Ovis aries: one gene and its partners. The protein of the gene in region 2 interacts with the protein of the main gene of each other region in a pairwise test. Links are inferred from orthologs where the notes say so. Each region holds a gene or a part of one and is shown on either strand. Other genes may lie near its edges.

Region 1 (4,166 bases), on a different chromosome or scaffold from region 2:
TAGATTCCACATGTAAGTGATATAGGATATTTGTCTTTTCCTGTCTGACTTATTTCACTCAGTGCTTATTTTATACGTAATAGTTTGTACCTCTAGATACCCTACCCCTATATTGCCTGTCCACACTTACCTCTCCTCATGGGTAACCACTAGTTTGTTCTCTGTATCTGTGAGTCTGCTTCTCAAAAATAAAGTTTTAAAGAAACAGCAATGAAGGGCAAGAGGTTATAACAGCCTCATTAGAAAACAACAGCCACTTCTGACAAAATGAAAGAATATCTAAATAAAGATATGCTTAAGTGTAAAATGTAACTATCAGCAATTAACATAATATATACCAGTGTTTAACGCTGTGTATATTCCCCTCCCCAGCCCATAAATTTTTTTTTCTCCTTTGTTCTATTCAATTTATAAGAATTAAATGCTTTTTCCCATGCTATGAGAACCAGTAGCCCACTGGTAGGTAGCAGCAAAACTAATAAAAGTCTATGCCTCAACTTCCCAACTATAAATTCTAACATTTGCCCTGCCTACATTTAAAAGGTTGTAAGTGGGACTCTTAACACAATATTCTTACCTTCTCCTTCAGGTATGATCAGAATTGGCTGGACTGCATCAAACTTTATTACTACAGGAATCCATATACTATTATGTACAGGAGTCTCAATGCCATGTCTTTTCATTTATCTTACATAAAACATGTAAGTTTGTGTGATGTATCTGCAGACACAGAGGCAGGACTATGGGCGGAGGGAATATTTTGTGAACTCTAAGCTTGCTGTAGCTTATAGAGTAAATTCTACCTTCACTTTTTACAAAAATATTATACTTTTTTGATTTAACCATTTAAATGCACCATAGTACATTCTTATTCAAATAACATCCTTTAAAATGACCCACTGGTAATTTTCGGGGGTGGGGAGGGAGGTGTTAATGTCTCTCCTCTATTTTTTGTAAAGCACACTTTTAATTGCAGAGAAATTGACCAAGCCACCAAAGGAGAGACAAAGATAAAATCTACAGCTCAGTGGCATCAACTTCCCAAGCATATGAATGGGGGAAAGGTGGAAAGGGAAGGGTTTAACTGAATGGTATGAGATCCTCTCAAATCCTTTGCCTTTAGGTAAAAGGAGCTGAGTTGTGGCAGCTGTGACTGCCAAGTACTATGAAGTGCTCATAGCTTGCTTTCTGAGACAGACTGTAGCAACAGGCAATGTTAAGGGTAAGTCTAAGTCCTAATGCCAATATGGTAACATGGGCACCCTGTCTGTTACCACTACTCATTCCCAGACTATTTGCCATGGTCAGAAGAACCAAAAACTCTTTGATGGAACAGCTGTTCCATGCTTCCCCCTTCCTCTACCCATAAATTTCACTTCAAAAGCCCTTGATGATTTCCCAAAAGCTTGCCACATTTAGCTCATTAAAGTAAAATGCCAAATGTTCACAGCCCTGGCATGTGCCCCTGCAGGTAGTAAACATTGACCTTTTCCCTTTCCTTGCCCAGTTCAAGATCCAGGAACCAGGTGATCTGTTGTGCTCTTCCCAGATCAATGTTAACTGCAAATTCACTGAAGGTAAAGTACAACTAAACAATTATTATTTGACTCCTTTAAATGCAACTATGATGATGGTCATCTCTCCTAGATCATTAGCCCCTCCAAATTCCTGATGCTTAACAAGTTGATGCTTCATTAAAATAACAGGCAGGCCCCAATTATTCTGAACCCAGTGGAAGGGCAGCACTGGAGTGAAACCACACCAGTCCTTGCACTAGGTAGGGATCAGGAAGTGCTAGTCTCCAAATTACCCCACATTTTACACAATCTTGAAAGTCAAAAATATGTGCATGATGATTAGTATTTATTACTATGCAAGACTGAAGAAAAATGGAGAGGAAGGTGGCCCAGGATGAGATGGTTAGATAGCATCACCAACTCAATGGACATGAATCTGAACAAACTCAGGGAGATAGGAAGGATGGAGGATCCTGGCGTGCTGCAGTCCATGGGGTCAACAACTATGCAAGCAGGTTGTACAAAAAGGAAAAAACGATACTTTATCTAAAAGATTAACAGGCTAATAAGATCCTTCTGGATGCAGACCCGAGAACCGAGTTTTGGAGCGATGGCTGGGTGCAAAGTGCTAAGGTGTTTGGAATCTGCTTACTTTTCTCCTTGAGGTTCTTCTTTTGGTCACCATTTTCAGAGCAGCACTAGAAGGAGAACAGGTAAGACAAACACATCAAGACTGACGTGACAGGGGGAACTCACACAGGGCTCTCAGGGGGCATCCAGTGGAGGACAACTTCTCAACTTCCTGGGAGGCCAGAGTCTGGAGGTTCCCAAAGGGCCACGTCCCTGGTGCCACCACTGTCACATCCCCAGAGAGCTGGGGTTACCTTGCCTGGCCTCCAGGGACACCTCTCCAGAACGATCTAGGTCATATCACCAGGGATCGCCAGAGCTACCGCACTGGGGCCACCTCCCCCGGGAGGTCTGCCACCTTGCCAGAGCAGCAAGGGCCATCTCCCCGGGGTCACGGCAACCGCGTCCCCAGGCCGTCAACTCCACCTCACTGAGACACTCTCCCCTGGAGGTCTGTGCCACCTCACTGGGCCACCAGTGTCCCCTCCCCGGGTCACCAGGGCCACCTAACCGGAGTGACGGGTGCCTCGCCGCTCTCGCCGGCCAGGAGCATCCTGCTTCCGCGCGAGTCGTCTGCTCCTTGCGCAGCCAGCGTGGCCAATGGACTCTGGCTCCCGCCAGCGATCAGAGATGAGCCTCGGAGACCGTAGCGCCGGACGCCACGGCAACTTCCTGCACCGTCTCTCTGGTTTCTTCCTTTCCTACCAGAGAGGCTCTGCCCGTGCAGCTGCCGGCCGTGTGCAGAGGCTCCCCCTGCCGTCCGGGGGTCGGATCAACCCCTCTGGAAGGAGAAGCGGGGGAGAGGAGGGGCGGGGACGAGGTCTTTCTCAACCTTGGTAAAATCTTCTCCACTGCATTGAGGTCATTAATGATGGAGCTTGAAGGTACCCCTCCCTCCACATAAATTCCACTTAAGTCATTTCAACTTATATTTCCGATGATATACCAGATGTTCTGAGAGTGTGAGGGGGCTTGTCGACTGGCTTTAATGTAATTTGGTTGGACTGTTTTAGCTGCGGAATCTCCAATGTCTTTTATCTTTGGATCCTTCTTTTACCGCAAATCAGATACACCTAGAGGTGACCCTCCAACTTCCTACCTGGTGGGTGCAGATCACATTCCGATAGCTGAAAGGAGGAAAAGGACTCGGCATCTACTATATACTTCGCCCAGTGCAGAGACCAAAGAAGTCTGTTCTTTGCTAGGGAGGAGGACTAGGATTGCCATCAAGAGTTAAATAGCGAACCCAGGGATTTGACGACTTCAAAACAAACGTGCAAGTGCTACCGTGGAGACTGAAGCAAACAGGGGCAGGGGAAATAAGCAACCCTTAGAGAAAACAGAAAACATTCAACGAGGAGAAAACTTTATTTATATCCTGAGATGCGTGACCCCCATCGCAACCATAAAGCAGTAACAGTCTACTATTTTAAAAGGAGCATTTAGAGACAAAAAAATATAATAGTAGAAATGAAAATTTCAGTAAAATAGTTTTAAGATCAATGTTGGGAAATATCCTGGGCGGGGCGGGGGGGGTGCGGTTCGTGGGGGGCAGCGGTGGTGGTGGTGGGAAGCAAAAGGTCAAGTGAGTAAAAAATAGGAAAGAAAAAATAAATTAGAGGACCACTCCAGGGGGGTTAAAATCCAAAAAAATAAGAGTTCTAAAAGAAAAACAAAAACAAAACAGCGATTAGGGAAAGAGTAATCACCAGCAAAACAATTGAAGAAAATTTCTCCAAACCAAAGGTCAGGAGTTTCCAGATTGAACTAGGTCCCACTGAGAGCCAAGCACAATGGATACAACCTGACTCATCCCGTGGCTTGTCACTGTGAAACTGCAGAACGCTGAGGTCAAAAAGACAACCCTAGGCTTCCAGAGAGGAAAAAAAAAAGAGATCATTTAGAAAGGATCAAGAATCAGTATATCATTCAATTTCTCAGTGGTCACAAAGAAACCCAGAAGACATCAGAGCATGTCTGTCAAACTTCAAAAGAAAATTTATTTCACACTGAAATTCT
Region 2 (3,384 bases):
CTGCAAGGATCACAACCATTTCACAGATTAAGGCACTGGGCCTCAGAAACACAATCCTGATTGCCTGACTCTGGACTGGGGACCTCCCATCCATGCAGCTACTCCAAGATCAGGGGCCTGTAGCAAATTGGCTGCCGGCTTTGGTAAAAAGAAAACCATGTTATTTTAAGAGCCCCACTATCCCCAGTTACTTACTGTCAGTAAGAGCAACAAGGGAACAGTTCCAAATGCAAAACACTCAGAATTCATGCTACACCACCTCCCCCTGGTGGAATGCTCTAGAAAGTGTCCTGATGACAAGGAGCCGTTGCAACTGGAAGACAATGAGTTTTCCATCAACATCACCTTCACTTCTTTAAATCATCAAAGCGACATTTTTTTCCATCAAGGAGTCAGGTACTGACAAAAAGAGAGGAAATTAGGACCTGGTGTCAATGAGGCTGAGAGTCTTGGATGATGCTGGGGGTGGTGCCAACTCTCTACCCTGGCCCTTTCCTTTCTTACCAGCCCTTTCTGTGGCTGTTGCTTCTGTCCCTGGTGTTCTTCTGCACCACCTTTCCTGCATCCTCTCTGCCTCTGTCCACTCTCCTGAGTCTTAGGGAAGGGCAAGGTGTGACCATGTACCCTCACCCATGACCCAGCATGAAGCAGCCCCAACATCAGGAATGTCCAGCAGAATCCGCTGAAGAGCCAGTCCTCAGGCGCTGGGCACTGACATTTCCAGTAAGTCAGGACGCAGTACTGACATTTTTTAGACATACAAGAGGGCAGCAATGTCGGTCTTCATCTGTGTCCCCCGAGTCTCCCGATAAACACATGGCCTCTTCATTCTTCCAGGAAGAAGGAAACATTCAACATGACATCTAGAACAGGAAGAGAGAGAACATGCGGCATACCAGCTCTCCAGAAAACACGAAACACCAGATCTGTAAAAGCTAGAGGCACCAGGAGGGGGAACCTCTTCGTGATTCCAAAGAGGCTAGACACACAAAGGAGGGGAGCAGACACGAACGACTGCATGAAAACCAGCACCTCGTACAAGGTCCGGGTGTTCATCTTCTGAGATTCGGTCCCAGGCTCTGGGCAAAGCTTGGATGTTTGCCAAGTCTTCCCATTGGATTGACGACAGGAGGTACTTCCTCTTTAGGTACTTTCCTGGGAGTTAAGGAAGGTGCTCAAAAAGAAAATGAAATGTGCTGAAGGAAGAAAATACCCTGGAGAGCATTCCCAGGAGCTAGAAAAGCAAAAGCACAGCTATCATTACATTTACCAGGTGGGCAGGCTCACCTCCATCCCACTCCAGTACTCTTGCCTGGAGAATCCCATGGGCGGAGGAGCCTGGTGGGCTGCCATCTATGGGGTTGCAGAGTCGGACATGACTGAAGCGACTTAGCAGCAGCAGCAGTAGGCTCACCTCTGCTACAGATCTTTACCGAGCCCCTCTATATACAAGGTTCTGGGCTACAGGGAAGGGATGAAACACTGCCCTGCAAACTGGGATCTCACTGTGGTGAGAAAAAAACACAACAGAAACTGAAAAGACTCTAAATGGGAAGAGATAAAACTCAGTGGAAGTTCACAGGATAAATTCATCCGCCCTAGAGCAGGGGTCCCCAATCTCTGGTACCCGTCTGTGGCCAGACGGGTTAGGAACTGAGCCTCCCAGCAGGAGGTGAGCGGTGGTCCAGAAAGCGAAGATTCACCTGCCACTCCCCACTGCTCGCATTACCATCTGAACCGTCCCTGTGGAAAAGCTGACTTTCACAAAACCAGTCCCCAGCGCCAAGAAGGGTGGAGAACCACTGCTTCAGAGGACAGTAGGAAGATTCCGGCTGGTAGGAAGAGCTTAAACCAAGACAAAGAAGAGGGGAAGCACGGAATGGATTCAGGACAGTACATCTTCCAACGAGATGCAGAATGGAATCGTGTGTAGGGAGCAGGCAAGGCAGCTGAGCAGGCAGGTGGAGGGAGAAGACACAGACCAGTGTGCGGGGTCTCACCCCCGGGACACAAGAAGCTACGGAGAAGCCCTACCCAGTTGGATCAGAACAGGGACTCCTGAAGATAAACCTGTAGTGTGGCCACGACCTCGAGGTAGCTTCTTCCTTCTAAGGAAAGAAGCCAGGGTCAGAGAAACCTGCCTAGAGATGGCATGCGACAAAGGATCCAAGTGAGACTGTGGCACAGGCAGTGGGGATACAGAAGGGATCTCCAAGAAACACCAAGGAAACAGAGCGGAAGGACTGGACAGTGGAGCCAAACACCCTTCCAACAGCACCGGCACACAGGAAGAGCTCATGACGCCTGCCCTGGCTGCTGCCGCCAGCGCAGCCAGCGCCGCTACCGATGCCATCAGCAAACAGTGGGCTCGGGGGCAACCCTCCGGTTTACAGACTACGTGACGCTACAGCTGAAGAAGGGAGCTGATGGGGTGGGGGCTGATCTCCATCCACTTGAGCCTGCAGTTCCATGAGATTCCAGTCAGGAGGCAGCTGCAGGAAACTGAAAATCAAAACTAGAGGCAAGAATAAATGAAGGTAGAAACTCCAGCCAGAGAGTAGACGCGCCTATCGGGCAAGACTAGAGAGAAAAAGGGAGCGGACTCCAGTGAAACGGTCTTTTGGCTTCCACCCAAGTCTTCCCTCAGAACACAGATGGGTGATAACATAGGTCTGATCAGATTACTCCTCTACTGAAAACTTTCTACAGCTTGTGTCTCTCTCAGAATAAAAGCCCAACTCCTTCCAAAGACCTCAGAGGCCCTACCAGCCCTAGCCCTGTCTCCTGACAGCATCACCTGTTAGACCAGGCCCACTTGGCTCGAGCCCTACTGGCTGCCTTGCTATTTCCTGAACGGACCAAGTTCACTGTCACCTCAGGCCCTTTGCACTTGCTGCTCCTTCTACCTGGAACACTCTTCCCCCAAACATCCACACGATTCTTCCCCTCACCCTCTTCACATCTTTTCTTAGAAACCACTTTCAGGGCAGTGAGGCCTGCCCTGACCACCCTATTTAAAACTACAAGCCCACCCTTAACCCTTGCTTTCCCCAATCCCTGCTTTATTTTTCTTCAAGACACTTAACATCATCTGACATTTTATATATTTTCCCCTTTTTAATGTCTAGCTCCTACCACCTAGAATAAAGCCTGGAAGGTGGCATCTGCTCAATAAATGATTTGAGGAATCACTGTACAAAGGGATGCAGGAGGAATGCACGTCCAGGAACCAAAGAGAACTGACTTACACCATGTATTTTTGTGTAATCTGGTGAAAACTGAAATTAACAAGACTTCCTGGAACAGCTCTGTGAAACGTGTGCAAAGGATATGAATTCCGATAATGTCTCTCAATGTCCTGCAACCACTCCAACATTTCAGCCA
Region 3 (4,041 bases), on a different chromosome or scaffold from region 2:
CGATACCCCAGGCCATGGCGGGGAGAGGCCGGTTTTCAGGTGCAGACCTAGGACCCAGCACTGGGGGACAGACGGAGTCACCACCATCTGCTGTTAGAACCCTTGAGAGCCACAATCCACACTCAGGGTCAGGTCAAGAGGCCCGCAAATGTGGCCACAGGCAGAGGATACAGGCTAAAAATCTTATCTGGGGAGCTCGGTTAGGGTGGATGGGATGCCCAGCATGAAACCCACCTCCTCGTGGTTCTTCTTCAGGTAGGCCAGCTCCTCCTTCAGGCCTTCAATCTGCATCTCCAGGTCAGTCCTGGCCAGGGTCAGCTCATCCAGCACCCGGCGCAGGCCATTGATGTCAGTCTCCACGCTCAGGCGCAAAGCTTGCTCCGTCTCAAACCTTTCAGAGGAAATAGTCGTAATCAGGCCAGCATTTCCTCTGCACCTCTGAAGATTTCCCCACCTCCCCTGGGCTCAAGGCCCCATGGGGGATGGAAAGTGCTTTAGACCAGCTAGGGTAGGTGAGGGAAGCATCCATTTCCCGCCATGGCTCTGAGCCCCTAAAGGGACTGCCTCCCCTCCCCTGCTCTGGCTTTGGCAGCCCCTAAAGTAGAGACACTCACTTGGTACGGAAGTCATCTGCAGCCAGACGGGCATTGTCGATCTGCAGGACTATCTTGGAGTTCTCAATGGTGGCACCGAGAATCTGCGAGGCAGAAGGCAAGAGGTTGGCACCAGTTCAGCATATGGGCAATGCCCACCCACTTTCTTCCCAGAGAAGCAAAGAAGTGCTTGTGCCCCCGGGTCCCTGGAGACCAAAGCTCCAGCCACCCCAGGCTGCCTGCTCTCTGGGCGGCCTTGAAATCAGTCCAAGCCTGAGAGCTGGAACAGGAGAAAATTACTACCAAGGAGGCTGACCCAGGGGGCAGGAGATGGGCAGGGGCAGGGGAGAGCGGTAAGCCTCAGAGGGAAAAGTCTCCAAGACCTGTACCCAGGGAAACTCTTAATGGTCTTAGGGAGGCAGCCTCTAGGGATCTGCAGACCAGATGCAGCAAAAATAGGGGTTACCCCATTGTCCCACCCCTACTCAAAGCACATTCTGCCTTCAGGGAAGGGAATTTCTTGAGTATCTGTTAAGCGTCAGCACTTCGCACCTCCTCTTTCGGGTAAACTGTATTTCCTAGTGTAGGTCACTGTTTTACAAGTGTGAAAGCACTACCCTAGTTGTTTACATCCCTAACTCTCATCTGGGGGACTGGTCTAGGCACCTGGCACCCATCACCAGGCCAGGCACAAGGTGAGTCCTGGGCTATGTTGTGGGGGCTGTGTGTTCGGAGATCCAACATGTCTGCCTGCCAATGCAGGAGACACAAGAGACTTGGGTTTCATCTCTGGGTGGGGAAGATCCCCTGGAGAAGGAAATGGCAACCGGCTCCAGTAATCTTGCCTGGAAAATTCTATTGACAGAGGAGCCTGGGGCTACAGTCCATGAGGTCGCAACGAGCCTGAGCACACTCGCAAGCATGCATGGCATATGAGACTGTTAAATGTCCCACTGGCTTCTGAAACATTTCTTCTGGACGAGCTCCCAGCTCCTGCTCTTCCCCGTAGGGTGGGCGGAGATCAAGCCCTACCCTGAAGGACCCTGAGCACCGCCCAGGAAGAGGCTGGAGCTGGGACCTGTCTCCACCCACAGAGCATTGGGCCTCCGCACACCGGTTGCATTCTTCACTCTCACTCGGTCCAAGGGCCACAGTGACTGTCCCTCCTTGACCAGGGCCCAGAGTCGGCCTCTCCCATTCTTCCCAGAGCTCCTCAGAGTCCCAAGTGGCCCCCTGGGCAGACGAGGCCTTCAGCCTGAGCGTGAGCGAAACCAGACCCCCCGCCCCCGCCCGGAATAAAGGAATGCAGAGGGCCCCAGCCGGGGACTGCAGGAGACGGGGCTGGCCTGGTGTGGACCGAATTTCTCCCTGGCCAAACTCTTGCATGTTCCTGTTGTCACGGCGACTCGGGCCTAGACCTCAGGGCAGCCCACATTGTGCCCCAACTCCTGCTACTTCCGACCCCCTTTCCCAGGCCTAGCGGAGCGGAGCGCCTTCCTCCTCCAGCCCTGCCACACTAACCCGCCCCGCCCTGCAGGCTTCACTTCCTGGCCCATTGTCCTGCCCCTCCTCACCTGCCGGCTCCGCTCAGCCCCACCCTGTCGGCCTCCCACATCCTAACGGGCTCGCTCCCGCCCCGCCGGGAGGTGGCTGGGGCGCCCGCCGCCCCCGCCTCGGGCCTCGCCCGGCCCTCGGGGCTGGGTTTCCGCGGCAGGTGCACTTCCCCCAGCCGGGCCACCGCCCACCTGGTCCCGCAGGTCCTCGATGGTCTTGAAGTAGTGGCTGTAGTCGCGGGCGGGCCCGGGCCCCTGCTTCTGGTACCAGTCGCGGATCTTCACCTCCAGGTCGCCGTTGGCCTCCTCCAGGGCGCGCACCTTCTCCAGGTAGGAGGCCAGGCGGTCGTTGAGGTTCTGCATGGTGAGCTTCTCGTTGCCCGCCAGCAGCCCGTCGGACGTGCCCAGGGCGCCCGCATAGCCGCCGCCGTAGCCCCCGGAGGACGAGGACACGAAGCGGGCGGAGGACACGGACACGCCGCGGCCCCCTGAACCCCCATGGATGCTGGGCGCGCGGAAGGCGCCTCCAGCCCCGAAGCGCACGGAGCCGCCGCCCATACCCCCGAAGGACGAGGTGGACGACGACTGGCGATAGCTGTAGGAAGTCATGGCGAAGGAGGACGAGGCGGCACTGGTCGGAGTGGCTGCGGTCGGCAGGAGGAGTGGCGAGAGGCCCTCACCTGGCGCCTTTTATGCCCGGGGCGGGCGGGGGAGGGGGAGGGGGGACGGTGTCAGGCGGCTATCTGAGCGCCCTGGAATTTGCAGGCTCCTGATTGCAAATAAGGGCGCTCTCCCCATTGGTCAGTTCCTGGCGGCTCAGCTTCCTCCTCTCCCCTCCCAGGGGCCAGAGGTTCCTGCCCTCCCGAGAGCTGCCCCACCCCAGACCACTCCGAGCCCCAGCTCCACACCCCGCTAGCACGCTCACCCTTGGACATCCCCGCAGTTCACATGCTGCCCCCCATTAAGATCACCCTGAGTTTGACACCCCCCAGGAATTACAGTCCTTCTGAGAGTACAGATCACTCACTCAGAGTACCCCTCCCCATCATACTCCGAGCCCCTTACTTATGAGCAAAATTAAGCCCCCCAAAAGTACATTCTCCTGATTCCTACATGCCCCTGGGAATTACCACCTCTCTGAAGCTGTCCCTTGGGGCTCGCCCACACCCTGGCCCCCCTCAAATACCCCAGATGGAGGTACTCTGAGCTGCAACCTCCCAGGCCTCCTGAGACAAAGCCACCCTACCCTGTTATGGCTGCACAGGGCCCCAGGGTGACAATAGGCTCCTGGGAACAGCTGTTGGGAGGGTATCTGCAACCGGACTGTAAAAAGCACAATTACCCTGACCCCCGACCTGAGGGCTGATCCCCCATTCAGCGCCTCTCACCTCCTACCCACCCCTCTACCAGAACAACCCTCTACCTCCAGCTCCAAAGGCATACATTCTGAGCCTAAGCGAGTCAAGTAACACTCATGAGTCTTTTAGCACCTGCTGCCCGGAGACAGGATAGCATCCCTCTGTCCTTGTGAGCATCTCCAAGCAGGGTGTCAAAGGCTGAATCCTCCTGTGTCTGTTTGTCCTGTCCTAGTACCCGGATGAATAGATGGATTGCCAGGAAGGGCACTCATGATCACCGTGGAGAGTTTGGGTAATAGAGGAAGGTGCCCCTCCACTCCACACGCCGCCCCGAGCCCGCTCTTCACCCAGTTCAGTTGTTCCACCCACCTTTTCGATCGCCTTGGAGGCCCCCGTGCCAGGCACTGCAAGGTCCTGAAGCAACCTCACCCCAGTTCCTGTCCCCAGGGACCTCACTCCTCCTCACAGTTGTCCCCACAGTTCTTTCCCATCCTTATGTCAGAGCAGCCACCCAGTCTCAGGACAGAGGCCCCATGC

Evidence for each region.
Region 1: the proteins of AIRIM (region 2) and RINT1 interact in binary tests that used the Homo sapiens proteins (3 or more experiments, as listed by UniProt). The two-hybrid records come from large-scale screens. The link is inferred for Ovis aries from reciprocal best matches to the Homo sapiens genes AIRIM and RINT1.
Region 3: the proteins of AIRIM (region 2) and KRT19 interact in binary tests that used the Homo sapiens proteins (3 or more experiments, as listed by UniProt). The two-hybrid records come from large-scale screens. The link is inferred for Ovis aries from reciprocal best matches to the Homo sapiens genes AIRIM and KRT19.

What each region holds. Positions count from the first base shown.
Region 1 is NC_056057.1:48,154,354-48,158,519, reverse strand, and holds the start of RINT1 (RAD50-interacting protein 1), read right to left. Parts: upstream 2,811-4,166; 5' UTR 2,701-2,810; coding exon of another isoform or gene 2,659-2,700; exon of another isoform or gene 2,274-2,658; intron 2,216-2,273; coding exon of another isoform or gene 2,170-2,215; intron 721-2,169; 5' UTR 684-720; coding exon 578-683; intron 1-577. UniProt on the Homo sapiens protein: Involved in regulation of membrane traffic between the Golgi and the endoplasmic reticulum (ER); the function is proposed to depend on its association in the NRZ complex which is believed to play a role in SNARE assembly at the ER.
Region 2 is NC_056054.1:12,495,839-12,499,222, forward strand, and holds part of AIRIM (AFG2-interacting ribosome maturation factor), read right to left. Parts: coding exon 3,333-3,384; intron 1,152-3,332; coding exon 980-1,151; 3' UTR 864-979; coding exon of another isoform or gene 826-863; 3' UTR 1-825. UniProt on the Homo sapiens protein: Part of the 55LCC heterohexameric ATPase complex which is chromatin-associated and promotes replisome proteostasis to maintain replication fork progression and genome stability.
Region 3 is NC_056064.1:41,473,673-41,477,713, forward strand, and holds the start of KRT19 (keratin, type I cytoskeletal 19), read right to left. Parts: upstream 2,811-4,041; 5' UTR 2,756-2,810; coding exon 2,339-2,755; intron 698-2,338; coding exon 615-697; intron 392-614; coding exon 235-391; intron 1-234. UniProt on the Homo sapiens protein: Involved in the organization of myofibers. Together with KRT8, helps to link the contractile apparatus to dystrophin at the costameres of striated muscle.